Linked DNA regions of Cricetulus griseus. The protein of the gene in region 1 interacts with the protein of each later gene in a pairwise test. Links are inferred from orthologs where the notes say so. Each region holds a gene or a part of one and is shown on either strand. Other genes may lie near its edges.

Region 1 (3,893 bases):
TTAGACTGGGAAATATTTTTGGTCTTGGAATATCTTTTCTTTAAGGTAGAAACCACATTTAAAACTTTAATAGTTGGATGTAAGCACAGGCTTGTCCTACTAGAGACAGTTATTGGAGAAAAAAAAAAAAAAAAACAACCCAGAAAAACTGTAAAGAACTATGATTGAATCATAAGAAACTTTTAAAGCAGTATGGGAAAACTTTAGACAAGCATAAATTTCTTTTTCTCTCAGCCAGGCACTCTCAGAAAAAGTAATTCTAACACTGCCAAGCTTTCTACCCAAAGAGTCTATCCATAGCCATCACCTGTGCTGTGGGGCAGTCCCTGTACTAGGAACCTCAGCTGTCAGGGGGTGAAGTTTAGCTCATAGCTTTAGTGTTTCTTTCAGTCCCTAATGTGGATCTACCACCGCTGTGTTCATCGAGGTTTCGGACTGGACCTCCTGGAGAAGAGGCCCAAGTAACCAGCCAGTTCATTGCAGATGTCCTTGAAAAGTAAGATTATTATGAAATTTTACCGCCATGCATTATCAAATGTTTTACCTTTACATTTACTGTGTTCTTTATCATTAAATCAAGCTCACAGATAATTAAGAAAGAGGACTTATGCATTTCTCCAGGCAAGGTAAGAACAGACTGAGCTCTTATGAACTCTGAAGTGGCTGTGTGATCTAATATGATAGTGGGGATGAATCAAAAACCTTAAACCCTGAAATTAAGAGCTTAGAAGGGATTCTGTAATTGTTTAGACTTTTAAGTCCATCTTAATTTGTCTAATCAATGGTCCTGCAATTCAGGCCTAAGGAAACAGCAATATTCTATTATCAGGTCTAACTTCTTTTATGTGAACTATTTTAGCTTGCTTGGGTTCTGTACTGTGACCTTATTTGCCTAGACTACGATGGAAATATTTTGGATGCCTGCACATTTGCTCTGTTAGCAGCTTTAAAGAATGGTAAGCAGCCTTAATAAAAACATTTTCCTGCTAATATTGTCAAGAGTCCAGTTGGTCAAAACCTTTTACAGGGCTTTCTTGAGATTTAGATATCAGTCACATAATTTTTATTTTGTAAGACAGTATCCCATAGCCCAGGCTGGCCTTGAATTCCTAATCCTCCCAGATGCTGGTAATATTTTAAGTTTGAACTACCTTGCCAAGTTTGTGTTCCTAAGTTAGTCAACTTTACAGGGTTTTCTAAAAATGTTTTATGTTCTGTAGCCTTTTAGAATCTCTTTGTCTCCAGCAGCCCTTCCCAGAATTCACTGAACTTAGATAGGGGATTTTCACTATAGTCCAAGTGGCTTGTGCAGATTGACCATAAGTATTTCCTGATAGTGATGTTCCTGGTAAGGGCCTGGGTAGGTTGGTAATGTCATAGAATATCAATTGTGCACATTCCAAGTCATTCTACATTGCTGAATGGACAACAAAACTAAGCTAGGCATGGTTGTCAATGCATATATCCTCTTCCCACAGGAGATGAGAATGGCAGATTGAGGCTAGTTCAGACTGCAAAACAGTATTCTTTCTTTTTAAAACATCCAACTAACTTATAGTGGAAGATATAGTTAATAGTGGTATTAGTGTAGTCCTAGTTAAACATCAATCCAGCCTGCTTGCTTCCTCTGTAATAAAATGGTACTGAAGAGCAGCACTTACTACTTTAGGAGAGTGGGTGACCAAATCAGTGTTATAAAATAGATACTGGGCATTGGTGGTGCAGGTGGTTTGTTGGCAATACATGCCTTTAATCCCAACACTTAGGAGGCACAAAGGCATGGGGGGATATCTGAGTTTGAGGCCAGCCTGGTTACATAGTGAGTTCTAGGACAGACAGTGCTACACAGAGAAACCCTGTCTTGGGACGGGGAGATAAAAATCCAAAACAGCTTGGCTGGAAAATAAGATGTACTGAGGAGTCTTCTTCTACCATATTTACCTTAATTGTTTGAGATACTTAAAACTATACTAATATCAGGTGAGTAGTACACAACTCTAATCCCAAAGTGGGTTCCAAGCTAGATGGGCTACATAGTGAGATCCTGTCAAATAACTGTTCTGGATAAGCTAACTTGGGAAAAGAAAGGATTACAGTGAAGCTATATACCACAATCACCTTATATGTATGTTTATTTGCCTTTTTGTAGTGCAGTTGCCTGAAGTTACTATAAATGAAGAAACTGCTTTAGCAGAAGTTAATTTAAAGAAGAAAAGTTATTTGAATGTTAGAACAAACCCAGTTGCAACTTCCTTTGCTGTGTTTGATGAGTAAGTTAATCAAAAGTAACACTCTAGGTTCTAAGATAATGGCTTGTTATTTAGATATCTTTACAAGAAATGTCCCCGAGTCGACTACCAACCCTAATTTGCTGTGGACATTTGAGCCCTGCCCTGCAGTTCCTTTAGTTGGTGCTTCCATCTGCACTGCATTTTAATGTACAGGACCAATTCTATGTTCACCTTACTTGCCCTCTGTTTCTTTATGCCCTTTTTCCTGGATGGTGATGGGGACTGTATGGGGCCTGTTCATACTAAGCAAGTGCTCCATTGCTGAGCTATGCTCCAAGCTACTACTCTATAATCTTCTGAAACTGTCTTCAGTATTAGCTGCAGAACCCAAGCTGAAGAGCAGGGAGTTCAGAAGTACTGGGCTGCAGGGTGCTGCCACTCACTCTGGCTTCCTCCAATCAGTCTCTTCTTGATACCCTTCCCCTATTCCGCACCCCATGCACATTTTTTTTTTTATCACTTATATTTTTCAAATGCAGTACTTTGCTGATCGTTGATCCTACTGGAGAGGAGGAACACTTGTCAACAGGAACCTTAACGATAGTAATGGATGAGGAAGGCAAGCTGTGTTCTCTTCACAAACCAGGTATGCTCTTTTCACTGCAGCTTTAAACACTGGTGGGGAGTGGTTGTCAAGTGGAGTGTGGGAAGTTTGACTGTTTAGCTGATGTAAGTTTATGGGCTTCTTTGCTATTTTTTTTTTTTTTTGTGTGTGTGTGTGTGTATCATTTCTAAACATATCTGTTTTCTGGAGTCTTCTAAAATGAACCTGCAGAAACCACACCACTTGATTTAGATGATACTTGATTTAAAAAGTAAATATTTGACTTGATCTTAAATTTTCACGAAATAACGGAAACACTGAAAATTGGCACAATTTTTCAGGTGGGAGTGGACTTACTGGAGCTAAACTTCAGGACTGCATGAGTCGTGCAGTTTCGAGACACAAAGAAGTGAACAAGCTGCTAGATGAAGTCATTCAGAGTATGAAACACAAATGAATAGCCACCACCATTGCAAAACAGCTGTAAAAATTGTATTTGTTACACTGTGCACAGGCTTTTTATACTAAATAAATACCAAACTATGTTCTTTTTGAAGATATTTCTAGTAGTTCTTAGATGGTATATATAGGAAAACATTTAACCATGTCTCCATATAAGAATCACAGGATTGTCCTTCTGTATAAAGTATGTACATCCATCAATGTAAAATACTGACATCTTGGGGGGGGGGGATGAAGTAGAAATGCAGTTCTTTTCATTCACTGGTCTTGTAAAAAAAAAGAAAGAAAAATTGCTCAGAATTTTGGAGTGGTTGGCATGCCTCTCTTCACTTTACTCTTTGACTGGCCACCTGAATGTCGGTGACGATGTAGCTGGGCTGTTTGTGCGGCGGCTGCTGCCATAGCCATCTGATGTTGCAAGAATCTCAACTGCTGTAAAAGTGGAAAAAAGGAGATGACATTATGTTAAATGCATAGGTGTAGAAAGGTGCTTCCCCAGGAGTGATGAAAACAAGCCCAAGAGGAGAAAGCATGAGGTCACAAAGGGTACTTCCCCAAATCAGGATACTGTAGGGGTCTGCTGAGGGCTTTAAATA
Region 2 (3,367 bases), on another chromosome or scaffold:
TGTGGGCCTTGAACTCACTGTCTATCCCAGACTGGCCTTGAATTTGTCATTGTCCCATGACTACAGATATATACTACCACACTCAGCTTTGGTTAAGGTTTCTGTCTTCTAATACTGCCACACCAGCGACCAAGCCTTTACCACATGGACTTTGGGGGATATTTATCATGAGCAGATGCCCTGTGAGGAGTAAGGAAGGTTGGTGAGCAGGAGAGAGACTGAGGGCTTCTATCTATCTTGCAGCTCCTGCCCCCTCCAGCCCCGACGCACCACCCCACAGTGATTGTGCCTGCACCGGCCCCACCTTCCTCCCACCATATCAATGTTGTCACCATGGGTCCCTCCTCAGTCATCAATTCTGTTTCTACATCCCGGCAAAACCTGGACACCATTGTGCAGGTATTTGGGTTTGGGGAGGGTGGCTTGTGGGAGTTGACTCTTGGGGACAAGGTTTTTACTGGAGACTAGGGAATAGGAGATGGAAGAAAGGCAAGATGGAGCTTATGTAGGAGGAGTAGCGATCTGGATGCTTGGATAGGTCCCCTTCCCTGTGCCCAGGGGAAAAAGAGACTCCTTTCTTTTTTTAATTAAAATAAAATTTATTTATTGTGTGTGTGTGTGTGTGTATGTATGTATGTATGTATATATATATATATATATATATATATATTTATTTATAACATGCAGGAAAGATGCCTACTACATTTTTTGAGCAAATATCTGTCTCTGTATCACACACACACACACACACACACACACACACACTTACACACGATGCTCCTGATGTTTCATTACGAGGGTTCCCATTATTGACCTTGGAATGTCTTTGTCTGTTGTTTTTTTGTTGTTGGTGGTTTTGTTTCTGTATTTTATTTATTTATTTATTTATTTATTCTATAATGTTGAGATACTTGTGTCCAAGAAGCCACTATATTTTGTTAAGAAAGCAGAGGTGGGGATCCAAAGAAGCAAGAGGCAGGGAACTGTTGCTGGAGCTTGTTGCTCACCAGTTAGGATGAGCTGCAGGGAGCCTTAGGGATCTTTCTGAATCTACTCATGCCCCGCCCCCCCCATTACAGGTTCATGGCACCATGCCTGGCTTTAGTGGGTCTGGGGGCTGAACCCATGCCCTCATGCTTAAAGACAAGCACTGTGCAGACTGAATTACCCTCCCCCGCCCCTTTCACCTTTATATGGGTAGGTAGTACTTAGGCCTCCTACTAGTACTGTGAACAAAAATATCTATTTGATAAATAGTAAAACAACCTGAAAAACAGAACCAGAGAAAAAAAGAATAGACCATCAGATCCTAGAACTTTCATTGCATATATGCCCAGCCAACTGAGTTAGAGCCAATAGCAAAGACCTTTAGTGAGTTAATGGACTTCAAGATATATAAACATGAGCTGTTAAAGATTTCATTTTATTATTATCGTATGTGGATGAGTGTTTTGCTTGCATATATGTATGTGTACATGCATTTGTAGTGCCCTCAGAGGGCAGAAGAGGGTGTGAGGTTTCCTGTTACCAGAGTTACAGACTGTGAGCCACCACGTGGGTGTTGGGAATCGAACCCAGTGCTCTTAACCACTCAGCCACCACTCCAGTCCCTGTGCTTGTCATTTCTAACATCTAGGGCTATGGTTTTCTGGAAGCCAAGCCCTTCAATCCCCCTACCTGCTTTGAAGAGTTCTGGGGTATGTGTTTTGGGGGCAGACAGCAGCTGGCTGGCCTGGTCTCCCCAGCCGAGTCTCCTAATTGATTGTCCCTTTCTGTCCAGGCAATCCAGCACATTGAGGGCACCCGGGACAAGCAGGAGCTGGAGGAGGAACAGAGACGAGCGGTTATTGTGAAGTCTGTCCGCAGCTGCCCAGAGGCACCTACCTCCGATACCGCCTCAGACTCCGAGGCCTCGGACAGCGACGCCATGGACCAGAGCCGGGAGGAACCTTTAGGGGACGGAGAGCTTCCCTGACCACCCCTCAGCCCTCCTCTCCCTCTGGGGGTCAGAGGGGGCCGGGGTAACAACAGGGAGAAACATGGGTGAATGAGTGAGAAATTTTTACAAAATTATGATGTCATTTGGGTCTCTTTTATGACCTCTTTTTCAATACTGTAAGTCGACCTTTGATCGAAGCCACCCAAGCCCAGGTCCCGGGGTTGGGGTGGCATAGCACGTGTGGGAGCATTGGGACTCCAGGGCTGGGCCTCGGCCCTGGGGCCGGGGACGCTGACACTGAGGTGCCGGGCCTCTCTCCGCCAAAAAGCTTTTTTTGTTTGTTTGTTTGTTTTCCTTCCATTTAAACGTGTTTTTAAGAACAGGGAAAATCAAACAAAACCCCAAGGTATTTCCTCCCTCCCCAGAGCCAGTCCGAGACCGCCAGTCTTCAGCCCCCCTTCCCTCCTCTATTTGGTTTTCTGTTTTTCTCTTTTAAGCACTTACATGGGTTGGGGGTCAGGCTGGGTTGGGGCTTTCTGGGGACCTGGGAGTTGTTTCGGTTTGTTGTTTCTCGGTTGGGGTTTGCTGCTGCCATTCTCCCTCTCCCCTCCCTCCCCACCTCAGCACCGGAATTGGCCACACTCTCCACTTCACCTTTCCCTCCGGGGTTCCCATCATCGACCCCAAAAATGTCTTTGTCTCTCTTTTTGTTTTGTTCGTTGTTGGTTTTATTTTGGTTTTGGTTTCTGTATTTTTTTACGATTTTTCTTTTTTCCTTTTTTTTTTTTTTTTTTTAATAATTTTGAGGTCTTTGTGTCCAGGGAGAAGCTATTATATTTTGTTAAGAAAGTGGGGGTAGGGAACAAAATACCAAGAGGCCATTGTGCCTTTGTAAAGAAACAAAATAAAATTTGTACTTTGTTTTTTACTTTTGTGTTTCTTGAGGATGTACTGTTGTGGGTGTTATGTTTTTGTTTAAATTAAAGATAAAGAAGAAGAGGCAGATGAGACATGTTAACCAGTTTATTATTAAGCCCGATAGAGTAGGGAGACTAAGAGAGAAGAGGAACAGGGGTAATGGCTGCCCGCCGTGGCTGGTCGCCATAGAGAGAGAAGAGAAGCAGAAGCAAACAGAGTGAAGAAGAAGCAGCAGAGAGAGAGCGAAACAGGGAAGTTGGAACTTTTAAAGGGAAGACTGGGCATGCGCACTGAGATTCCACGCATGCCCAGAGTCCTCACGCAGGCCATAATGCGTGGCGGGTGACGTGGTGACGTGGTGATGACGAGGCAGTTCTTCTGTGTGTGCCCTGTTGTCAGGGGGTAGGGTCTGTCTCTTAAAGAGGTAGAGCCGATCAGCATAAAGCCTGAACCTTTCATTCCCACCTCTACTCATTATTTTAAAAGGTGAGGTGTTAGACATGGCACATT
Region 3 (4,111 bases), on another chromosome or scaffold:
GGCATATAAACAACAGTTAGAAGTCACTGAGCAGAATAAGATTAATTCATTCAGCAAATAATTATTGAGCCTTTATGCTAAGCAGTGATCTAAGCAAATAAAACACTATACTCTAGTGGAGCTTACATTCTAATGGGGTAATAAAATAACTTAAGAATATAGACAGTAATCATCTCTTATCCCAGTCTATAGGTCTGAAAATATTAAATGGAAAATTCTAGAACTAAGCATTTAATGTTCTAAGTCATGCACCATTGTGACTAGCATGAGGAAATACCATATTTTTGCCCTAACCACAAATCTTCCCTTTGTGTAGGTTTCCACACTGCATACGCTACCCTCTCGGTAGCTAGAGGGATCATCAGATCAACTGACCTGCGTTGCAGTGTTTGTGTTCAGGTGGTCCTTGTTTTGTTAATAGTCCTAAAGCACTTAATTAGTGATGCCGGCAATTCAAAGGTACCCAAATATGCTTTCTTTAAGTGGAAAAGCACAAGTTCACTGAAGTATACATATGTAGAAAAAATACAGCATATTCAGGGTTTGGTACTGTGACTCGGAGAAGGTACTGGGAGTCTTGGAAGGTAACCCCTCCAACAATGAGGGGACTACCGCTTAGCATGTCAGATAGCAATCAATATTAAAGACAAAAAATGGGAAGGACTCGTTTCTTATCTATCTATCTATCTATCTATCTATCTATCTATCTATCTATCTATCTATCTACCTACCTACCTATCTATAAAGAGAAAGGACGATCAGGGAAGTCCTCACCAGGACAGTGTTATTTCAGTCTAAACATGAAGAGGAAAGGGCGAGACAAAAGCAAATGCAAAGGTACAGATGAAAGAACATTTCAAGCCTTAGGGGAAAATCAGTAAGAGTGAGTTCTGTGAGTGAGTTCACGAGAGCGCTGGGTTCAAGAACTGGAGTAGGGGAGGGGTTCCGGGGAGAGAAACACGCCACCCTCGCGGAGACTAAGTTGGGAAGGTGTGTGTCCAACGAGGATCCAATGCTTTCAAGGGCGTTCAGTTTGATGTTTATTACCAAATATGATGGTGTACGCCCGCGTCGGTACTAAGGATGCTATAGGTAGGAGGATCGGAGCTTAAGACCAGCCTGGGCGACACAGTCTCTAAAACAAAACAAAACGAGAGGGAGAGCTCGATAAAATTAAAACGAAGAAAAAAAAAAAAAACCAAAACCACACACACCAAAAAAATCAAAACAAAAACAAAACCCCAAACAAACCGGCCGCAGTCAACACCTTTCCACGCCCTAAACTGCTACCAGGGCCCGGAACTCCGGGGCGGAGGCCGAGCCGGAAGTAGCCTCACGAGGGGCGGCACTTTGCGGGCTGCATTTCCGTTAGCGGCGGCGGGAATCGCGCTGCTGGCTGGCGACTAGGCCTCTGTGGAAGCGAATCCGGCGGGCATCTGAGACATCGGAGCCGCCACCATGGTAAGAAGGCGCGGGCTGGCCGCGGGGCGCTCAGGGGTGCGGAGTGGGGCGGTGGCTGGCGGCGGCCGTGGGTTGAAGCCGCCCGTGGCCGACAAGGTCGGGGTCGAAGCCGCTTAATCCGGGCGCCAAAGGCCTGGACTTGCGGAGCGGCTGGGCCCGGGTGGAGGGGAAGGCTGCACCGGGGACCGAGGCCGCCGTGCGTGGCCCGGCGCCTCTGCGGTTACAGTTCCGCGGCCTCGGTAGCTGGAAACGTGTGCCGGGTCGCTGTGTGCCCGGGCTCCCGGAGCGGACGCGAGCCTCCGGCCGACCGGGGGACACCGGGCCGGACGGAGGAGAGGCGGAGGGAGCGGGAGGGTGGAGGAGAGTGTTTGCATGCAGAGCGCGACCCTGCTACGCGTATTTTTATGTTGGGGTATGTCAGGCGCTGGGGCTGCACCCTGAAATAAGTTGTGCGTTGGTTCAGTTTCTGGCTCTGTGCAGGGCTAATGTGATTCTCTATGGCAGTTCGGCTTTAGGCAAAAAAGTAACGGCAGGGGGAGGGGCGGGACGGGTCCAGAGCAGACGCCCAAGTGATTGTTTAGGAGCGCCCCGCTCCCCTGTACGAGGGAGGGTTAGAAATCTGGAGAACCGAGAGGGCCCAGTAGAAGGCAACGAATTGTCAGGAACCTGGTTGCTGAAGTCCCTGCATCTTGTTTTCCCTCTTGGTAGTAAGACATCGCTGGAAGAGTTTTCACAGGCTTCATGGACTTAGGTTTAGAAAGGTCAGCCGGGAAAAGTGGCCAGTGCTCGAAATTTGTAATTTCTGTGCATAGTAGGCAGAGGAGCTTGAATTTTGAAGCCAGTTTTGGCTACAGAGCAAATGTAACAAATGCCTCGAATGTCTCCAAAAATATTAGTCTAGTTAAGTAGCTGAAGAAACCCGAGGTAGCGAAAATAGGTTATTGTTTTTGAGAGTTGACTGAGACAAGTCCTTACTTAACCTTCAGCTTGGGTCGTCTATTTGGTCAGTAAAAAGGAATGACAGTGGACCCAGTTTTGAGGATTAAAGGAGATAAATCCTTTTCAAGGGCCTAGCCATACATAGCTATTAAATATTAGCTATTGGACCGATATACGCCGATCCTAGTAACAGAGCTCTTTGAGATGATTATTTAAGCAGAAAAAAATACAAAATCTGGTTTTCAGGTTAGGGCTGGGTAATGCTCACAGGGGTGAACAGCGTTCCTGGTACAGAGAAGACAACTTGGGTAGTTAAAAGTGACATAATGCCAGTTATAGTTGTGGGTAACTGATACGTTTCTGAGAGAGACTACCACAGATACCTCTGTTCACCTAGGGGTGTGTATAAGCGCCTTTATTTTTGCAAAGTTACATTGGGAACCAGGATAGAGAATGTTGTTTGCCTTAATTAAAAATTAGACTATTATATTATATATATATATTAGACTATTAAGTATCCAAACTAATTAGCACTCTGGCCCAGAAAAGTTGCCCAAGTTACCCTACTCCTGTTCTTGCTTCAGAGCTGGTTTCACTTTCTGGTAATAAGCTTTTCCTTAATTAAGTGAATCCACTTAGTGCCTGTTGAATTCCAGTTCTTAGTTTAGATGGATTTAGTTGTTCGTAGAACTGAGTCTATATAGTGGTGGATGGCTTAATGCCCACTAGGTCTAGTATGGGTGGATTTGATTAGTTTGTGAACACTTTAACTCTCCTGAGACAGATACAACATAGACAAAGTTGTAGTCCCAGGGAGATTGCCTGTTTTAAGGGCAGGGAAAATAGCACATTAATGGGCAGAAATCAAGGCTAAAGCTGGTTGATAAGAGTCTCAGAAAAGGACCTTGTTTGGAAGATGTCAGGAAATTGTTGAGAAGGTTGGGAATAGAAAAGTAGGCTGTGGTGGAAGATGGGGGCGGGGAGCAGAAGTGTGTGAGCGAGTCCTCCCTGCTCCCTCTTTGCAGACTGTGGGTAAGAGCAGAAGTGTGTGAGTGAGTCCTCCCTGCTCCCTCCTTGCAGACTGTGGGTAAGAGCAGAAGTGTGTGAGTGAGTCCTCACTGCTCCCTGCTCTCTCCTTGCAGACTGTGGGTAAGAGCAGCAAGATGCTGCAGCACATTGACTACAGGATGAGGTGCATCCTGCAAGATGGCCGGATCTTCATCGGGACCTTCAAAGCTTTTGACAAGCATATGAATTTGATCCTCTGTGACTGTGATGAATTCAGGAAGATCAAGTAAGGAGAGGGCTGTTGGGAGGGAGAAGGAACTGGGATGGACTGGATGGATGGGCGGGCCAAGAGTGGGATGGCCATTCAGCTAGGTGCTCTTGTTTGCTCACTTGCTTTTGAAGGGAGAAACTTAAAGGGGAATGTTAGCTGCTAAGGAATCTCTTCCTTAATCCAGAAAACCTTGCTCTCCAATTCTAGCAAAGTAGAAGTTGGTGAGGAGGGCTGCTAGGCTTTTAATTTTTCTGAGTTTGCATGCCCCTGGGTACTGGGGTAAAGGGCTCTCATGTTCTCCCCACAGGTGTGTGAGGGGGGAGAGCTTGATTTTCTGGCCTCATTACCTATTTGTAAAGCTGTAGCCTAAAGGGCTCTCCTATTGCAGCCTGGTCTGAAACTGCTTTAAGAAGCCTCTGACCCTCTTCAGGG
Region 4 (3,841 bases), on another chromosome or scaffold:
TGCTGTGGGCTTAGGTCAGTGTGCCCAACTTCTCTCGGCCTCTGGTTGCTGGTGTACAAAAAGGATACAAAAATACTCTCCACATTTTGTTATTTGAGAAAGCATACAACACAGACAGGGCCTGGCACAGCGCTAACAATTCCCATAATTACTGGTAGTCAGATTCACGGTACCTCGTTCAGTAGACAGCACGCAGTACCCTGAACCCGGGTGAGATACTGCTCAAGAATAACACTGATAAACTCTGTCTGACCAGGCTAGAGTGACTGGGGGAGCAGGACCTTGAATAAGGAGATGTCTGAACTGTGAATAAAATTTTTTAAATACCCAGGGCTTTAAACAAGATGGTGTTTGGAAAGGTGTGAGGATGGTTGAGTGATGGAAATGCCATTTCCTGTTTGACTATAGGAAAGTGTTGTGCTGTTGACGATTCTTAACCTCCTCTGTGTCTCAGTCTTCTCATCTCTAAAAGGGGGCTGCTTTCATCAACTATCTTGTGCCAATTCGCTAACATATTAAGAGTGCTTGCACGAGTACATACCACAAAGCAAACGCTCAGTTATTGCTAGCTGTTATGTTGTTGACTGTAATTACCATATTACCCTGAGCGACATTTCAAGGTGCCACATGTCAGAATCCCCCCTCTCCCCGAGCCACGCCCTTTTTTAACAGTCCCAGCAATAGTAAATGATAATTGCCTGGGACACAGGAATCCCCTCTTACTAGAAGAACCCAAGAAGACACCCACAGTGACTGCTTGGACATTAGGGAGATTACCCACCCACGCCTGCGTGACCAGGCGGAAGCAGCTTTGTCACCAACTCAAACCCCTGTGCATAAACAGTGAAGGGGAGACTAGGCCCTTAAGAGTGAGTGACAGGGCAGCTGGCCCGCCGTGCAGTAACTACAACACACCACCAGGGAGCAGCAGAGCCCAGCCCTAGGTGGTTTTGTCTACAGGAGCAATTAATTTGTTCCAGGTTTCCTTCGTGTATCCGCTCCCGGCTGCAATCACCGAGCTTGTTGTTGATCATCCAACCTATCAACGAGGGTCCTGCTCCGGATCAGCGGGACCAGCGGGCCCGCAGAGCTCGGCTCGTCTAGGAGCCGTCTTAGCCCCGCCCCCGCGGCTCGGCCAACCCTGGGTGGAGAGGAGCGTCACAGGGGCGGGTCCGGGGACCACGTGGCCCGCTAAGGGGGTGACCGGGTCGCGAGGGCGGAATAGGCAAAGCTGGCCTCGCCCTGAGTGCCCTCCCCCCCGCGATGGGCGTGCAGCCCCCCAACTTCTCCTGGGTGCTCCCGGGCCGGCTGGCCGGGCTGGCGCTGCCGCGGCACCCCGCGCACTACCAGTTCCTGCTGGACCTGGGCGTGCGGCACCTGGTGTCCCTAACGGAGCGCGGCCCCCCTCACAGCGACAGCTGTCCGGGCCTCACGCTGCACCGAATCCACATCCCTGACTTTTGCCCGCCGGCCCCGGAACAGATCGACCAATTTGTGAAGATCGTGGACGAGGCCAACGCCCGCGGAGAGGTCAGCGCGCTCGCCTAGGCCGAAGCGAAAGGGCGGAGCCTGGACGGAAATGAGTGGGCGGGGCGGGGGTGGAGTCAGAAAGGAGAGGGCGAGGCTGTGGGCGGGGCCTGGTGGGACCCGGCTGGGCTGGAGCTAGATGAAACCCACCCATCCTCTGACTAGAGTCAGCTCTGCTGCTAGAAGAGAGGGAGGCTAGGTGATGCCAAGCAGGCTGGAGAGAGTACTGTCAAGTGAAATGCTTCCAGGAGTCGGCGGAGCGCCGAAGCCAGATGGAAGTGGTTCAAAACCCATTTTCTAGAGGTCCATATGTCATGGAGACACACTTGTAACTTTAAATTTTACTAGCAGCTACGTTTCATAAAGAGATGAAACGAAACAGGTGGAGTTAATTTTGCTACTAATCCAATAAGTCAAAAATATTATTTCAACATGGAATCAATATGAAATAAATTATTAGTGAGGCATTTGCAGTCTTTTCCGTGCCACATCTTCAGAGCCTGGTAAATATTTTACACCCAAGCTCAATTTGGACTGACACATTTCAGGTAAAAAATACCACAAGTGGCTGGGTGTTCTGTAACAGACAGCACAGATAGAGGGGGCAGGAGATGCAGGCTGAGAGCCCAACTTGGGAACCAGCCACTTCTGAGGCCTCCATGTCACCAGAAGCAAGGACAGTCCTCAACAGTGTTGCTGTCACTTGCCCTCTGAGGGCCTGAGATTTGTGGGGAGAACAGCACCTTTCGGTGGGAACAGGAGACTGTTGGGGAGGGCATTGGACTCCACTCCATGGGTTTCCTCTTCACAGGCTGTCGGAGTGCACTGTGCCCTGGGCTTTGGCCGCACCGGCACCATGCTGGCCTGCTACCTGGTGAAGGAGCAGGGCTTGGATGCAGGGGATGCCATTGCTGAGATTCGGCGCCTGCGGCCGGGATCCATTGAGACCTATGAACAAGAGAAAGCTGTCTTTCAGTTCTACCAGCGAACAAAATAAGGAACTCGACAGCTCCCCCTGTCTGCTGCTGCTTGTGGAAAATGTGGCCAGGGAGGATGGAAAGTGGACTTAAGTTCTACAGCCTTCAGCTCCCTTTGCCTCCTATTGGACAGAAGTAGTATTTCCCCGAAGCCATAACCTGATTGACAGGATGGCTGAGACCCCATGAATATAAGTTAATAACTAATAAGAACTCATTTGCACTGCATGGCGTTACACAGCACTCCCAGTACATCAACTCCATGTAAGCCCTGGGTTGTAGAAAAGATAAAAGCCATTTCTGTTCTTTGAATGAGGTGGCTAGAGCTCATGGTCACAGTTCTGGAAAACAGAAGGATGGGCCAGGACTGCAACACACGCTTTTGTCTCCTTGAAGATGTTGAAATTCTAGGTGCTGTTCCCTAAACGTATGTGATATGGTTTCTAGAGAACGGGTTAGTGAAAGAGATCCGTGTCTCTGGCCACCCAGCTCCGAGCAGCCTCGGGGCTCTACACTCCCACACCAGGAGTGTCCTTGTTGATATCACCCCTTATGTAGGCTCATCTGCTCCCACTTGGGTCACCTTTGTTCTTCTCAGGGTACAGAAGACTTGGGTGTCACAGATGTCTCTCTTCTCCCCCCTTCCTCTCCCCCTCCCCCTCCTTCTCTCTCCCCCTCTTCCCCTCTTACCAGCCTCAGGTGTACCCAGCTCATTTGTTACCTCCAGCCTCTGTGTCATCCCCAGCCTCAAGCCAAGGAATGCCTGAACTGAGTCTTGGTGGTTATATAGAGTGGATATTAAGTAATCAAATAAATAACTCTGGGCTGTGACTCTTGGCCATGTTTCTTGGGTTTTGTCTTCTTCACGTCTCCCCTGTAGGGCTCCATTCTGCCATTGGCACCACACTTTGGAGATGAGATGAATGTCATACATGAGCCCAGTGGACTCTCTTATAATGTCAGTCTGAATTTTTGCCCTGTCTTCTGCCATAACAGGCTGAACTGAAGAAGGGAGATCCACCCTGAGATATACATCGAGTGCCTGTGTGAACTAGGTGCTGTCAGAGGTGGAGGCGACTCAGCAAAATAAAACATGATTCCTACTCTCAGGAGAAGATAGGTAGTGACAGTCCATTCCCACATGACAGATGCTAAAGGCCATTTCTACTATTGCAGGCTCAGCACAGAATAGTCAAGAATTCCCCTATAGCCTCCATCTCTTGTATTGAAGACCAGAGCTTCGCCTATGCCATCCCCTCCCCAGGACTTCTCTCCCCGTCCTCTGCTGGCCCTAACTAAACATTATCCAGCTCACCCTTCCACAAAAGGCTTAGTTA
Region 5 (3,500 bases), on another chromosome or scaffold:
GAATTCTCGTATCCCCTGACTTGAGAAGATGGGCACTGACTGGGGTGTAGAGTGAGCCCTCCGACAATGGTCCAGGAAAACTCGGAACATGACCAGGGGCATCTACTGCACGTACCACAGCCTGCTGCCGCACGGGGATGGCCTGTTCCAACGCAGTAGCTTCAGACTCCTCCTGTGCCTGTTTCCGGGCAGCTGTGAGAGAAAACCCTATGTGGACTTCCTGCCATCTGTCCACCCAACCTGGGCACAAGGGCTGGTGGTGCTGCCCTTCCCTCCACCTTGGGCTCAGCTAAGTGCTCAGTTAGAGCCTTAACTGTAGGCTCTAACCAACAGGCTTGCCCTGCCTGTGCCTCTCAGGAAGCCAGGAAACACCCAGTAGCTTACAGGTTCTAAGAAAGGATGAGTCCTAGTTCTGGCACCTATTAACCATTCTTAATTAGACTCAGGCTTTCTGTCCTCTACTTTGTATCAGTTGGATCCACTGGCTCAGAGCCCTGCCAAGTCACTCTAAGGACCAGCCAGCCAGGAGGCTCTGCCTGTTTGCCTGCCTCTCTTCCCTGGGTACTCTGGGCATGCCAGCCAGCTACCACATGGGACCTTGGTCTCTGCCTCAGTCCACTCTTCCCATGGACCCATGCCAGCTGGTAACTTCAGGTGACCCAGGCTGCTTTTTCTCACCAGCACCCACACAGCGCCTTCTTTGCCTCCTCCCTCTCTACACACAGCACCCCCACTTTACAGGGGCAGAACACACAGGAAGTGATTGTGTGCCACCCCCAGGGAAAGTTGAACTCTAAGAGGTTGAGGCTGGGCGGGTTCTGCCCACTGCCCTGTCTGTCAGTGAGGCCCTGGATCCCTACTAGACACCTGTCCCTCAACATCCTCAATCAGACTGATATGCTAGGGCTGTCTCTGCAAAGACTACTGTAGAAACTTAGCAGAATTGATGTATCTGGGGTAGACATGAGAATAAAAACTTGTTTTCTAGAAGTGCTTTGACCTTGAAGAATTATTGTGCTAAACAGTAAAGAATCTTTGTTGAAAACAGTGATTATTTTCAGCGTTTTGTAGAACTGTTTTTCTAGGGGCATTGCAGCCTTTACATGACTTTGGTCACAAGACGACTTTGGCACACCTGAGGCTCTTGGATTATCACGTATTGCAAACGACACAAATAGAGGACTAAAAGTCATGAGTGCATGTGATGCTCTCCTTTGGAGAGACATATGGATTAGACTAGGAGCCTGGGTATGAGGAAACACTTTATCTTAAAAACAACTCTGTAACAATCAATAAGCATGCCTTTGTATGACTGACTGATGATGTTCAGTTCACCAGAGGCCGGGCCTTCCTGCTGCCATCCAGGCCTTAAAACTTCACCTTGGAGTGACCTCTTACTCCTTACTTCGACCAACCCACGCAACACAGAACACCTTACAAAAGACCATGAACTTACAAGCACTCGAACACTACCTGTTTGCTCGGCTACCTTCTTCGTGGCTGCTTCTTTAGGTTCTTTCTGGACCTGACTGGCCAGCTTCCAGCGGTTGCTGATCTATAATGAAAACAGACAATGACCAAAACCAAAAAACCAAAACCATTAAAACCCCTGCTTAAACTCAGGAACTTAGGATGTCCTAGTTGTTAAGAGGCAACAGAGGGCATGCTAACCTAATAATGATACATATTCTGAGCCACCACACTGGCTGGCTTTAAGAGGACAAAGTACATCTGACCCCAGACTCCAGGCTGCATGTGCTTATAGCAGACATCTCATTCCATCCAGCCCACCCTCCCTCCAGGACAGGAAGGAAGCCTTAGTCACTTGCCCAGTGGCCCAGTTAGTAAACAAAGCTGGGCTCAAGAGGAGTCCCCCCTTGGTCCTGTTTCCCTTTCTGTCCCACTTAGAGCTGTGACCTCAGTCCATATCTTGGTGACCCAAATGAGCACCAGGAGGGATGGACAGCTGAAGGGTTTGCCACAACCAGGGAGGAGGAGATAAAGAAAAGCCCACTCACTTGGTCTTTCTTATTTTGACTTTTGAGTCAAGGCTGACATAAAAGGTTTTATGCAGCCAATGATGACCTTAAACCCACTCTCTTGCCAAGTACTGGGTTTACAGTTATATACTATAGACTCCCTATTTCCAGTGCCCGCCCCCTCTTTCGGTGGGTGAAAGAGAAGGTCTCCCTATGTAGTCCTGGCTGCCCTGGAACCTGCTATGTAGACAAGGCTAACCCTGAACTCAGAGCTCCACCTGTTTCTGCTTCTGAAATGCTGGGATTAAAGATGTGGCTCTTATACTTGGCCTGTTTTTTCCCTGGTTTGGGTCTGAACCCAGGACCCTGGGCTTGCTAAGAGTTCGCTATCACTGAGCCAAGTCTCCAAGTCCAGGACTTCCCATTTCTTCTTTTCTAATTTTAATGTTATTATTATTCTTTTTCTTTTGAAGCAGAACCTCACCATGTAGCCCTGGCTCCCCAGAGCTTCATATGGAGACTAGGTTGGCCTCAATATCATAGAGAATCGCCTGCCTCTGCTTTCCATGTGCTGGGATTAAAGGCGCGCACCATCACACCCAGCCACCCTGCTGTTTCCATTAAATCTTATTCACTTTGTGTGTGTGTGCACGCTGTGCATGTGTGAAGGTAAAGATACAACGTGGAGTCCATTTTCTCCTTCCACCATATAGGATCCTGGGATTGAACTCAGCTTTCAGGCACGGTGGTGGGCTGTTACCCACTGAGCCATTGTGCTAGCTCTGGGACTCTCCATTGCTAAAAGCAGCAGGCTAAACTCTTAACACAGGACTCAGGCCTGTCTGGGTGCCTACACCAAACACATCCCGCCTACAGGGAAAATGGAGGCTTTGAATCAGTGTGCCACCTCCCAGTCACAGAGAGGACCTGTGGGAGGGAGGGGTGTTCTTGTCCACAGTGCAAGGCAGTGCCTCTTCAGTTTCAAGCTGCTCCCTTTAAGAGCCTTGAAGTGACATACACATGTACAAGTGTTATAAACTATATCATTTATGTACTTTATTATGTATAATTTACTCCATTAGAAAAGCACAAAACAGTTTGTCATTGTTAACTTTCCAGTGCTGAACTTGAACCCAGGCTCTCATACATTAGGCAGACACTATCCTACTTTGATAGCCTGTGAACCAGAGCAGGCTTCTTCTTGTATTTTTAAGGCTGGGCCTCACAGACCCCAGGTTATCCTAGGACACACTATGAGCTGAAGATGACTTTGAACTTCCGATCCTCCTGTTGTCACCTCCCGCGTGCTGAGATTACAGGTGTGCATCTCCATTCCAGCTTTATGTGGTGCTGGGATCAAACAAGGGCTCCATACAAGCCAGGCAAGCACGCTACTAACTGAGCTCTGACCCCAGCCCCAAACCCTTTGTCGCAGAGATTCCCAAAGGCTTCCGAGGACTGGGCTATGGTTTGGCCTCTCCTCTGTTTTCAGCGGCCTACAGAGATCTGAAGCCCACCTGA
Region 6 (4,043 bases), on another chromosome or scaffold:
ATGTGAAATCGGTGTTTGAAAGGGAACTGGTCTTACTCTTTGAAAACAAAACTAGGATTAGGAGATGTGCTGGACCCGGCCCGGGCCCTTTCTGCTTCAGTTTTCCAGTCCACCATGTGGGCTAGTGATTATTCACTCTGCCTAGACCTGAGGCTCATTTAGAAAGTTTCAGTGGCCCCTTGACTCCCAGAAGTTGATCTTGGGGTGTGGAGAAATCACTCCCTAACACATGGAATTGGGAAAAATCAACCTGCTCCAAAGATATCAGGAACTAGTGAAAAGAAAAGGAATTCACAAGAGGGTAACACTTGCTTATGTAGTATGCTGGTGTAGAGTTGAAGTCCTCCAGAAGAGATGCTGTCACTGGAGACTTGTCCCCAGCAGGACCCTGGGCACCCCCTCCCCCAGTGCAGCTGGACTCCGGGTTCCACATCTCCGCACCGCTCAACTGGCCCCGACACACTGAGGCTAAACCTGCAGCTTTCCCTTTGCCCACTCTGGGATCCCGCACAAATAGTGACAGCAAAGAGAAACAGGAGAGACAGAGCATGAAAGCAAGAGGCTGGTGGTCTCTACTTAAAATTAAGGAAAGGGAACACCCAACCTTAGCTCTACTCTTGGGACCAAGATAATTCTTCAGACTCAGATGCGGTGCTGAACTTGCAGAGTTCTCCGGGCTTCGACCTAGCTTTTCATATTTTCAAACCCGGAGGTGGACTTGTACCTTCCACCCTACAGTAGGTGGCTAAAAGCCTCGCAGCCTGTTTGCTTAGCTAGGGATATTTAAGGAGTTCCGTGCATGCACATAAATGCGGCCTATTATCTCCAGCAACCGGGCTGAGCTGCTCGCCAGCTTTCTGACTTTCTTTATCGTGTGGGGGGGTCGGGCAGATTACCGCACCCAGGCATCCCGCAAAGTAGGCGGGTCGCCTTAGGGGGCAACCTTTACCCGCTCAAAAATTCGTCTCACATTAGCAGTGAGGACTCGGGCGTCACCCCGAATCGTTATTTTCCTTACTCATAAGTTTAAGGCATAAAGAGTTTCTGCCCGGCCCTCAGTGGTAAGGAATTAGATTCGCATTACAAGTATGGTGAGTTTCAGATCGTCCATTGAGCCGATAGACTTATTTATATGAACGTTTTCTAGTGGTTACCAACTTCCATCATTTTAACTCTTCGTCTGTAAAAGGAAGGAAAAAAATAATGCACCACGTTTCGGCTTTCTATATGCAGATTAGAAGTGGCCACCGCAAAGGCTCACGGGGAGCGGGCCCCACCCCTTCCGTTCCGAACTTCGTTTTGAGTTGTCGCGAGAGTTGGTTGTCCGGGTGTCGGAAGCTGCTCGTCGCTCCGAAAGTGTTCAAGGGGCGGGCTCGCTGCTGTCGCCTCCCCACTCTCCGCTAGCTCGGTGGCGCAAGATGGCCGACATCTCGCTGGACGAGCTCATCCGGAAGCGCGGAACGGCGACCAAGGGACGGTGAGCGGCCTTTCCCTTTATTCGGGGCTCGTGGGGCTCGTGGGGCTCGCTGCTTCGTGGGGTTCGGGGGCGGAGGACGGAGCAGTCCCGGTCGCGACGCGAGAAGCCGCTTGCGCCCGCCCCCTGCGTCCGCCGCGCTCCTTATTGGCCAGGCCGCGCGGGCCCATCGCCTGCCAGCCCACTGGCTACCGGGCCCGGGAGGCCCGGCCACAGGCGGGCCCGGGGCTGGGCAGGGCAGGGCAGGGCCGGGCCTTCCTACCTGGCTACTGGGTCCGAGGGCGACGGTGGCGCAGCCCCTGCTCGGGCCTTGCGGCCCTCGGAATTAAGAGGATGGAAGTTGAGCGGACGAGACCCTAACCCAGAGCTGTAATAGCCAATTCTCCAGGTTCTCTCAAGCCACTGTCGTGAACCCTGACCCGCTGAGAGGCGTTTTAGAGTTTTCATATGCCAACTGCCTTGTTCCTATCACTGTAGTGTCTGTAATGTTTTTTTTTTTTTTTTTTTTTTTGCCTGTTTTCTTGAGACGGGGGCAGGACTCGAACTCACTGTGTCTTGAAGACAGGCCTTAAATGCCTGGATCCTCTCTGCTTTCATACCCTAAGTGCTGGGATGACAGGCGAGTTTGTTTCTGTTTTGAGAAGCTGGCGTCCTCCATGTTGCCCAGGCTGGTTTCGAACTCCTGCCTTAGTCTCCCGAGTAGGTGGGGCTCCAGACACTTCCGTGCTGTTTACTTACCTTATACCGGCTTCACAGATAGGAAGCTGGAGCCTGAGAGAAGGTAGAGTGACTTTCCCAAGGCCACAGAGGCCTCAGAGTTTTAACTGCTGGCTGAGTTGGCCACTGGCAAGGGAAGAAAAAGAGAGGGTGTATTGGTGTTCACTGATGGATGTCAGGGAGTTTTAAGTGAGAAGCACTTAAAAGACTCAATAGACTCTTAAACATTGGTAGCCATCTTTAGCTTATAATTGGGGATATTGAAGATGAGGCCACCAACGTTAGATGAGTATTAGCAACTCTATCCTATCACCGAAGGATACCAGAGTGTCTAACTGGTTAGGGCCACTGGCAGGGTGGAATCTGCCTCTGTGACCTGAGACCCCTAAGAAGAGGCCATAAGCTTCTTCTTCTTCTTCTTCTTCTTTTTTTTAATAGGATTCTTTTTTTTTTTTTTAAGATTTTATTTATTATGTATGCAGTCTTCTGCCTGCATGCAGATCTCATTCAAGGTGGTTGCGAGCCACCCTGTGGTTGCTGGGAATTGAACTCAGGACCTCTGGAAGAACAGTCAGTGCTCTTAACTGCTGAGCCATCTCTCCAGCCCCCATAAGCTTCTTTTTTTATGGCAGAAAAACATACAAAGGGTGGGGAGTCAAAGGAATAATCTTCAGATTAGGTCTTGAGGGGAGGCCAAGGAGAGGAGTGCACTTCGGATTTTACAACTTGTGATAACAAGGTGTGTTTGTGCAAGCTTAATGGGGTTTTCTTACACAAGTCTGTGGTTATTTTAGCACACCTCTTGACATAGCTGGGGTCTTGTCTTAATTTTTAACTTGTTCTCCCAGCAACTGAGAATATAGGGCAAGGGCCAAGCAATAGAAGAAGCTGGGTAGGTGGGCTAATGTTCAGACTTACTCTGGACCCTTCAGTGATTTAAACTTGCCAGTGGTAACTTGGCTAGTGGTCCAGCACATTTACAAACTTAAGAGTTTCTAAATGCCCCCCTGTAGAGATGTTCTGTTCTCCCAGACACTGATCTGCTCAGCAAGTGTTCATCCTCCCCCATGCCTGTGTCTAGCAAAACTTCTGTCTCCTACACTGAAATGTACTCTAATCTCAGCATTACTGCTTCCATCACCACCCAGTTCACCAGTTCCAATTGTCACCTGTCTTCTGGGTCATAGTGACATGACCCATGAGAGATAGTTATTGACAATGATGATGATTAAGCCAATTACTAGTTTTGAGTCCTTTTATTAATGGCCAGACCGAGAGCTGCCTCTGAAAGTCTCTTGGTGACCAAGCTCAGAGATGTCACTTTTTAAGACAAAACCACAGTTACATCAGTGCTGGGACACAAGGGCCACATTAGTGAAGGATTTGGGGTAGCAAGAAAACACCTGTTTTCTTGCAAAGCTCAGCAGTGTTTTACATAACTTTTTTTGTGTTTTTTTTGTTTTGTTTTGTTTTCTGGTTTTTGTTTTTGTTTTTGTTTTTCGAGACAGGGTTTCTCTATGTAGCTTTGGAGCCTATCCTGGCACTCATTCTGGAGACCAGGCTGGCCTCGAACACGCAGAGATATGCCTGCCTCTGCCTCCTGAGTGCTGGGATTAAAGGCATGCGCCACCAACACCTGGCAACAATTATTTTTATTTACATTTCCTCATAGTTATTTAGTTTTATGTTTAAGTTTGCATAGACATCAGTTATGTTCGTTAATACATCTGGACCATGGACTGTCATGGACAGTCCCAAAAGCCATTATAAGGTGGACTTGGCTATTGAAAGTGGAAGGCTAACTGTGCAGTGGTGGCTCACTTGCCTTTGATCCCTGCACTCCAGAGGCAGA
Region 7 (4,098 bases), on another chromosome or scaffold:
ATAGTCTGCTATAATTCTTTTCTTCCAAACAGAACTTTAAGACAGTGACAAATTTTTTTTTCTGTAGTTTATTTATTTTTCTTGAGACAGGGTTTCTCTGTGTAGCCTTGGCTGTCCTGGAACTTTGTAAACCAGGCTGGCCTCAAACTCACATAGCTCGGCCTGCCTCTGCCTTCCAAGTGCTGGGATTAAAGGCATGTGCCACCACCACCCAGCTGCTTTCATTTCTTTTTAAAAATGCTTTACATTTATGTATATGTGTATGAACCTTTGTGAGTGTATATAGTTTGTGTATGCAAGAGCCCATGGTGGCCAAAAGAGGGCTTATATCCCTTGGAACTGGAGTTCCAGGTAGCTGTGAGCCACCATGTGGGTGTTGGGGACTCAATTCTGGCCCTCTTTACTGCTGAACCATCTCTCCAGATTCTTGTTTGCTTCTCTCTCTCTCTCTGTGTGTGTGTGTGTGTGTGTGTGTGTGTGTGTGTGTCTGTCTGTCTGTCTGTCTCTCTGGTTTTTCGAGACAGGGTTTCTCTGTAGCTTTGGAGGCTGTCCTGGAACTCACTTTGTAGACCAGGCTGGCCTCAAACTCACAGAGATCCACCTGCCTCTGTTTCCCGAGTGCCAGTGTTAAAGGAGTGCACCACCACCCAGCTTGTTTCTCTTTTTTATTATTTATTTATTTGTTTGTTTGTTTTTTTGAGACAGAGTTTCTCTGTGTAGCTTTTGAAGCCTATCCTGGCACTTGCTCTGGAGACCAGGCTGGCCTCGAACTCACAGAGATCCACCTGCCTCTGCCTCCCGAGTGTTGGGATTAAAGGCGTGCACCACCAACGCCCAGCGTTTCTCTTTTCTAAAAATCAAGTTTACTGGGGCTGGAGAGATGGCTCAGCGGTTAAGAGCACTGGCTGCTTTTCCAGAGGTCCCCGGCTCAATTCCCAGCACCCACATGGCAGCTCACAACTGTAACTTCAGTTCCAGGAGATCTGACACCTTCACACGAATACACATAAAATAAAGTTAAATAAATTATTTTTAAAAAATCAAGCTTACTAAAGGCCATTTATGCATTCACCACAGTAACTTTTGTCTAAATTAAGAAGTCTTCTTTGTTTTTTGAAAGAGGATCTCTCTTTGTAGTCATGGCTTACCTGGAATTCACTATGTAGACCAGGCTGGGCTTAACTCAAGAGAGATCCACCTGCCTCTGCCTCCCGAGTGCTGGCATGCTCCATCATATCCAGATTAAATTAAGAAGTTTTAAAACAAAATAACTGCAATCACTTCCCCAACCTGAGAACACTTATTTCCCAGTTAGAGATGATTTGTTTGGGAGCAGCCACCTTAACTACCCACGCATCTCCCAAGGCCAGAGCCACTTTTCTCAAGTAGGCAGTCTTACACAGTTCTTTTAGTTATTATAAAGAAAGCAACCATGGGATTTTAGAGCCCTAAGTGGAGAAAAAGAAAGCTGTGACGAACAAAGATTAGGAAACCGGGAATACTGTTTCAAGTGAAAATGAAATAATTAGGCTTTTGAATATATAATTATAATCTCCCTTCAATTTGGTAAGTAAGCAATGGCATTGTTACTACAAACAGGTCTTATTTAGGAAGACTGTCAGATACTTAGATTTAAGAAGGTGAGAAGAGAACATTGATACCAGAAAGGGTTTTGTTTTTGTTTTTGTTTTTGTTTTTGTTTCCCCAGAGACAGAGTTTGTCCTGGAACTTGCTCGCTCTGTAAACCGTGAACTCACAGAGGTCCTTCTGCCTCTGACTCCTTAGTACTGGGATTAAAGGCGTGCGCCACCACTGCCCCAGCCAAAAAAAAGAAGGCTTTTAAAAAGATGATGGGGGGGGGGGTTTGCTGGAGAGATGGCTCAGAAGTTAAAAGCACCCGCTGCTATTCCAGAGGTCCTGAGTTCAATTCCCAGTAACCACATGGTGGCTCACAACCATCCGTTATGAGATCTGGTGCCCTCTTCTGGTGTACAGAATGTTGTATACATAATAAATAATAAAACCTTTAAAAAAAAAAGATGATGGGGACATGAGAGCTATGGGCTCTCAGGAGTAATACTGTCAGAACACTATTCTATCTCAAAGGAAAAGAGAATGTCAAAGGAAAAGAGAATGCCTGGCTCGGGCTCTGGTTGGCACCTAAGCAGTTTGTGGATGCCGGATGCCAAGTAACTGAAACAACCCATTCCCCAAGCCTCCGTACGTGGGTCGTTTTCCTACCTGTGGCACAGACGCGCCCCAGATCAAACAAAGCCCTAGACCTTCACCAGGAAACCCAGTCCTCAGCTGCATTTTTTTTTTTTTTTCATTTCAGTCTGGCTCCGTACTTTTTGGGGTCCGCTCCCACCCCACAGGCTCTTTAGCTCTCACAGGTCAGGCGTTCCCTCCAGACAGAGCACGGCACACCCCTCTCCATAACCAGTGCCCTGTGTTCTCCGGGGCTACGATCTCGGGATCGAAACTCCAAACCCAGGTTTGGGACCCCACCCGCAGCCACCTTCTGGTCAGTACAGCCCGGACAGAGGCGCACTCCCCAGCCTGGGTCACCGGCTTGACGCCTCCGTCCCCACTTTGTGGACCACACTCCCGCATCCTCCTTCCACCCGCGCCACGGGCCAACCTGAGCTTGGCCTCTTGGGGACGACCGTCACGCCCCGACGCGACGCTGGGCTCCAGCGGCCAGGATCTTTGCTCCTCTCGGCTCCCCACAGACACCTTCCTCTCCGCCACCTCCACCCGCCTCAGTCCCACTGGACGCCGCCATCCCTGATGGCCGCACTGGGCACAATTCCCGCTGCTCATTGGCTGTTACCTAGGCAACCACGAGCAACGCCACTCCCCATTGGTCCACTCTTCTTCCGTGCCATCTTTGTGAGGGGCCGAATGTTTTGGGAGCCTGGGCCAAATATCTGAAAGAGGGGTGGGGCTGAGCCTTCTGTCTCACTTCCATCAGCCAAACAGAAAAGGAGGACCCAGGTTTCATCTCTCCGGAGACTTCCAGGCAGAAACTTTAATCCCATATAAGGCCGAAGGTGTGTCCAAAGTGGCCACCAGCTCAAGAGGTTCTAATTTTTATGTTCATAAACAGCTCCACCGCAAAATCAGAAGAGAGAAACTAAATCCAGCTTTAGAAGCTCAGCATTATAATTTAGCAAGGCGCTGCACTTTTGCATTCACAGGGACTGGTTATGACCCACATCCTTTGCATTTAAAATGTGTTGCCATTCTTGGAGCAAGTCTTCCCAAATAATGTTCCCAAATATCGGTGTGTCCATATGTTTGTTTACTGAACCGTGTGCGTGCAGCATGATGTCAAGTTCTGCCAGGCTTGGAAAGCCACGGTCATTGTTGTTTCTCTCATAGGACTTATTATTACAAGACAAGGCAAGTTGCTTCAAATTGCTTTTTGGATGGGGATTTCTTCATCCACAGGTTAGAAAATGATAATGATGTCAATAATAATGGCTTTTCAGGACTTATATGAGAACACAATGTAAAAAGGAATAGTGGTTTGAAGTTATTTTTAAAAACTTTGGATTCTGTGTTCAAATTCTATCTCTGCTATTAATTGTGTATGTTTTTTGAGTAACGTATTAAGCTCTCTACCCTGTAAAATGAGATTGAACCAATAGATTTAATGTGGTACTAACACTCAATTGGTAATATAAGCTAATCTGGGAAATCAATTGTAGATTAAACTACAATCATTGAGAGTAGGAGTGTAAGAAAAAGGAGAATATTAGAATTCATGTTAGAAAATATGAAGAAATTAGATAAGATCATAGACTGTATAAGGGTAAATCATGGAAAGACCTGTAAATTAGCAAGAAGTGTATAAATGTAGTTTCTTTGATTAGCAAGAAGGCTTATTAAGTATGGGCAAACTGATTTGTCTCCTTAGGAAGCAGCATCCAACATCATAGGAGCTATAATGGCATTTAAATGAGTTCATCCATGTAAAATACTTAAAACAATGCCCAGTACTGAAAGACCCCTGGAGGCTCAGGCCCCAAGGGTTTCTGCCCAGGCAGCAACCCCAATCACCAGGCAGAGGCGAAAGCTTGATGCGAACAGCAA

The links.
Region 2: the proteins of Exosc8 (region 1) and Tfap4 interact in binary tests that used the Homo sapiens proteins (3 or more experiments, as listed by UniProt). The two-hybrid records come from large-scale screens. The link is inferred for Cricetulus griseus from reciprocal best matches to the Homo sapiens genes EXOSC8 and TFAP4.
Region 3: the proteins of Exosc8 (region 1) and Snrpb interact in binary tests that used the Homo sapiens proteins (3 or more experiments, as listed by UniProt). The link is inferred for Cricetulus griseus from reciprocal best matches to the Homo sapiens genes EXOSC8 and SNRPB.
Region 4: the proteins of Exosc8 (region 1) and Dusp23 interact in binary tests that used the Homo sapiens proteins (3 or more experiments, as listed by UniProt). The two-hybrid records come from large-scale screens. The link is inferred for Cricetulus griseus from reciprocal best matches to the Homo sapiens genes EXOSC8 and DUSP23.
Region 5: the proteins of Exosc8 (region 1) and Exosc10 interact in binary tests that used the Homo sapiens proteins (3 or more experiments, as listed by UniProt). The link is inferred for Cricetulus griseus from reciprocal best matches to the Homo sapiens genes EXOSC8 and EXOSC10.
Region 6: the proteins of Exosc8 (region 1) and Poldip3 interact in a two-hybrid assay, tested with the Homo sapiens proteins (2 studies listed by BioGRID). The link is inferred for Cricetulus griseus from reciprocal best matches to the Homo sapiens genes EXOSC8 and POLDIP3.
Region 7: the proteins of Exosc8 (region 1) and Morn4 interact in binary tests that used the Homo sapiens proteins (3 or more experiments, as listed by UniProt). The two-hybrid records come from large-scale screens. The link is inferred for Cricetulus griseus from reciprocal best matches to the Homo sapiens genes EXOSC8 and MORN4.

What each region holds. Positions count from the first base shown.
Region 1 is NW_023276806.1:96,566,638-96,570,530, forward strand, and holds the end of Exosc8 (exosome complex component RRP43), read left to right. Parts: intron 1-378; coding exon 379-496; intron 497-580; coding exon 581-626; intron 627-859; coding exon 860-956; intron 957-2,149; coding exon 2,150-2,270; intron 2,271-2,770; coding exon 2,771-2,877; intron 2,878-3,176; coding exon 3,177-3,292; 3' UTR 3,293-3,393; downstream 3,394-3,893. Other genes in the region: Supt20h (transcription factor SPT20 homolog), read right to left, coding at 3,592-3,729. UniProt on the Homo sapiens protein: Non-catalytic component of the RNA exosome complex which has 3'->5' exoribonuclease activity and participates in a multitude of cellular RNA processing and degradation events.
Region 2 is NC_048600.1:42,117,273-42,120,639, forward strand, and holds the end of Tfap4 (transcription factor AP-4), read left to right. Parts: intron 1-243; coding exon 244-399; intron 400-1,780; coding exon 1,781-1,975; 3' UTR 1,976-2,867; downstream 2,868-3,367.
Region 3 is NC_048599.1:48,439,500-48,443,610, forward strand, and holds the start of Snrpb (small nuclear ribonucleoprotein-associated proteins B and B'), read left to right. Parts: upstream 1-1,311; 5' UTR 1,312-1,458; coding exon 1,459-1,461; intron 1,462-3,542; coding exon 3,543-3,694; intron 3,695-4,111. UniProt on the Homo sapiens protein: Plays a role in pre-mRNA splicing as a core component of the spliceosomal U1, U2, U4 and U5 small nuclear ribonucleoproteins (snRNPs), the building blocks of the spliceosome.
Region 4 is NC_048598.1:20,242,916-20,246,756, forward strand, and holds Dusp23 (dual specificity protein phosphatase 23), read left to right. Parts: upstream 1-1,161; 5' UTR 1,162-1,263; coding exon 1,264-1,530; intron 1,531-2,338; coding exon 2,339-2,524; 3' UTR 2,525-3,341; downstream 3,342-3,841. UniProt on the Homo sapiens protein: Protein phosphatase that mediates dephosphorylation of proteins phosphorylated on Tyr and Ser/Thr residues. In vitro, it can dephosphorylate p44-ERK1 (MAPK3) but not p54 SAPK-beta (MAPK10) in vitro. Able to enhance activation of JNK and p38 (MAPK14).
Region 5 is NC_048595.1:7,861,891-7,865,390, forward strand, and holds part of Exosc10 (exosome component 10), read right to left. Parts: intron 1,556-3,500; coding exon 1,474-1,555; intron 193-1,473; coding exon 116-192; intron 1-115. UniProt on the Homo sapiens protein: Catalytic component of the RNA exosome complex which has 3'->5' exoribonuclease activity and participates in a multitude of cellular RNA processing and degradation events.
Region 6 is NC_048595.1:380,043,027-380,047,069, reverse strand, and holds the start of Poldip3 (polymerase delta-interacting protein 3), read left to right. Parts: upstream 1-1,243; 5' UTR 1,244-1,418; coding exon 1,419-1,477; intron 1,478-4,043. UniProt on the Homo sapiens protein: Is involved in regulation of translation. Is preferentially associated with CBC-bound spliced mRNA-protein complexes during the pioneer round of mRNA translation. Contributes to enhanced translational efficiency of spliced over nonspliced mRNAs.
Region 7 is NC_048596.1:19,462,915-19,467,012, reverse strand, and holds the start of Morn4 (MORN repeat-containing protein 4), read right to left. Parts: upstream 2,801-4,098; 5' UTR 2,642-2,800; intron 1-2,641. UniProt on the Homo sapiens protein: Plays a role in promoting axonal degeneration following neuronal injury by toxic insult or trauma.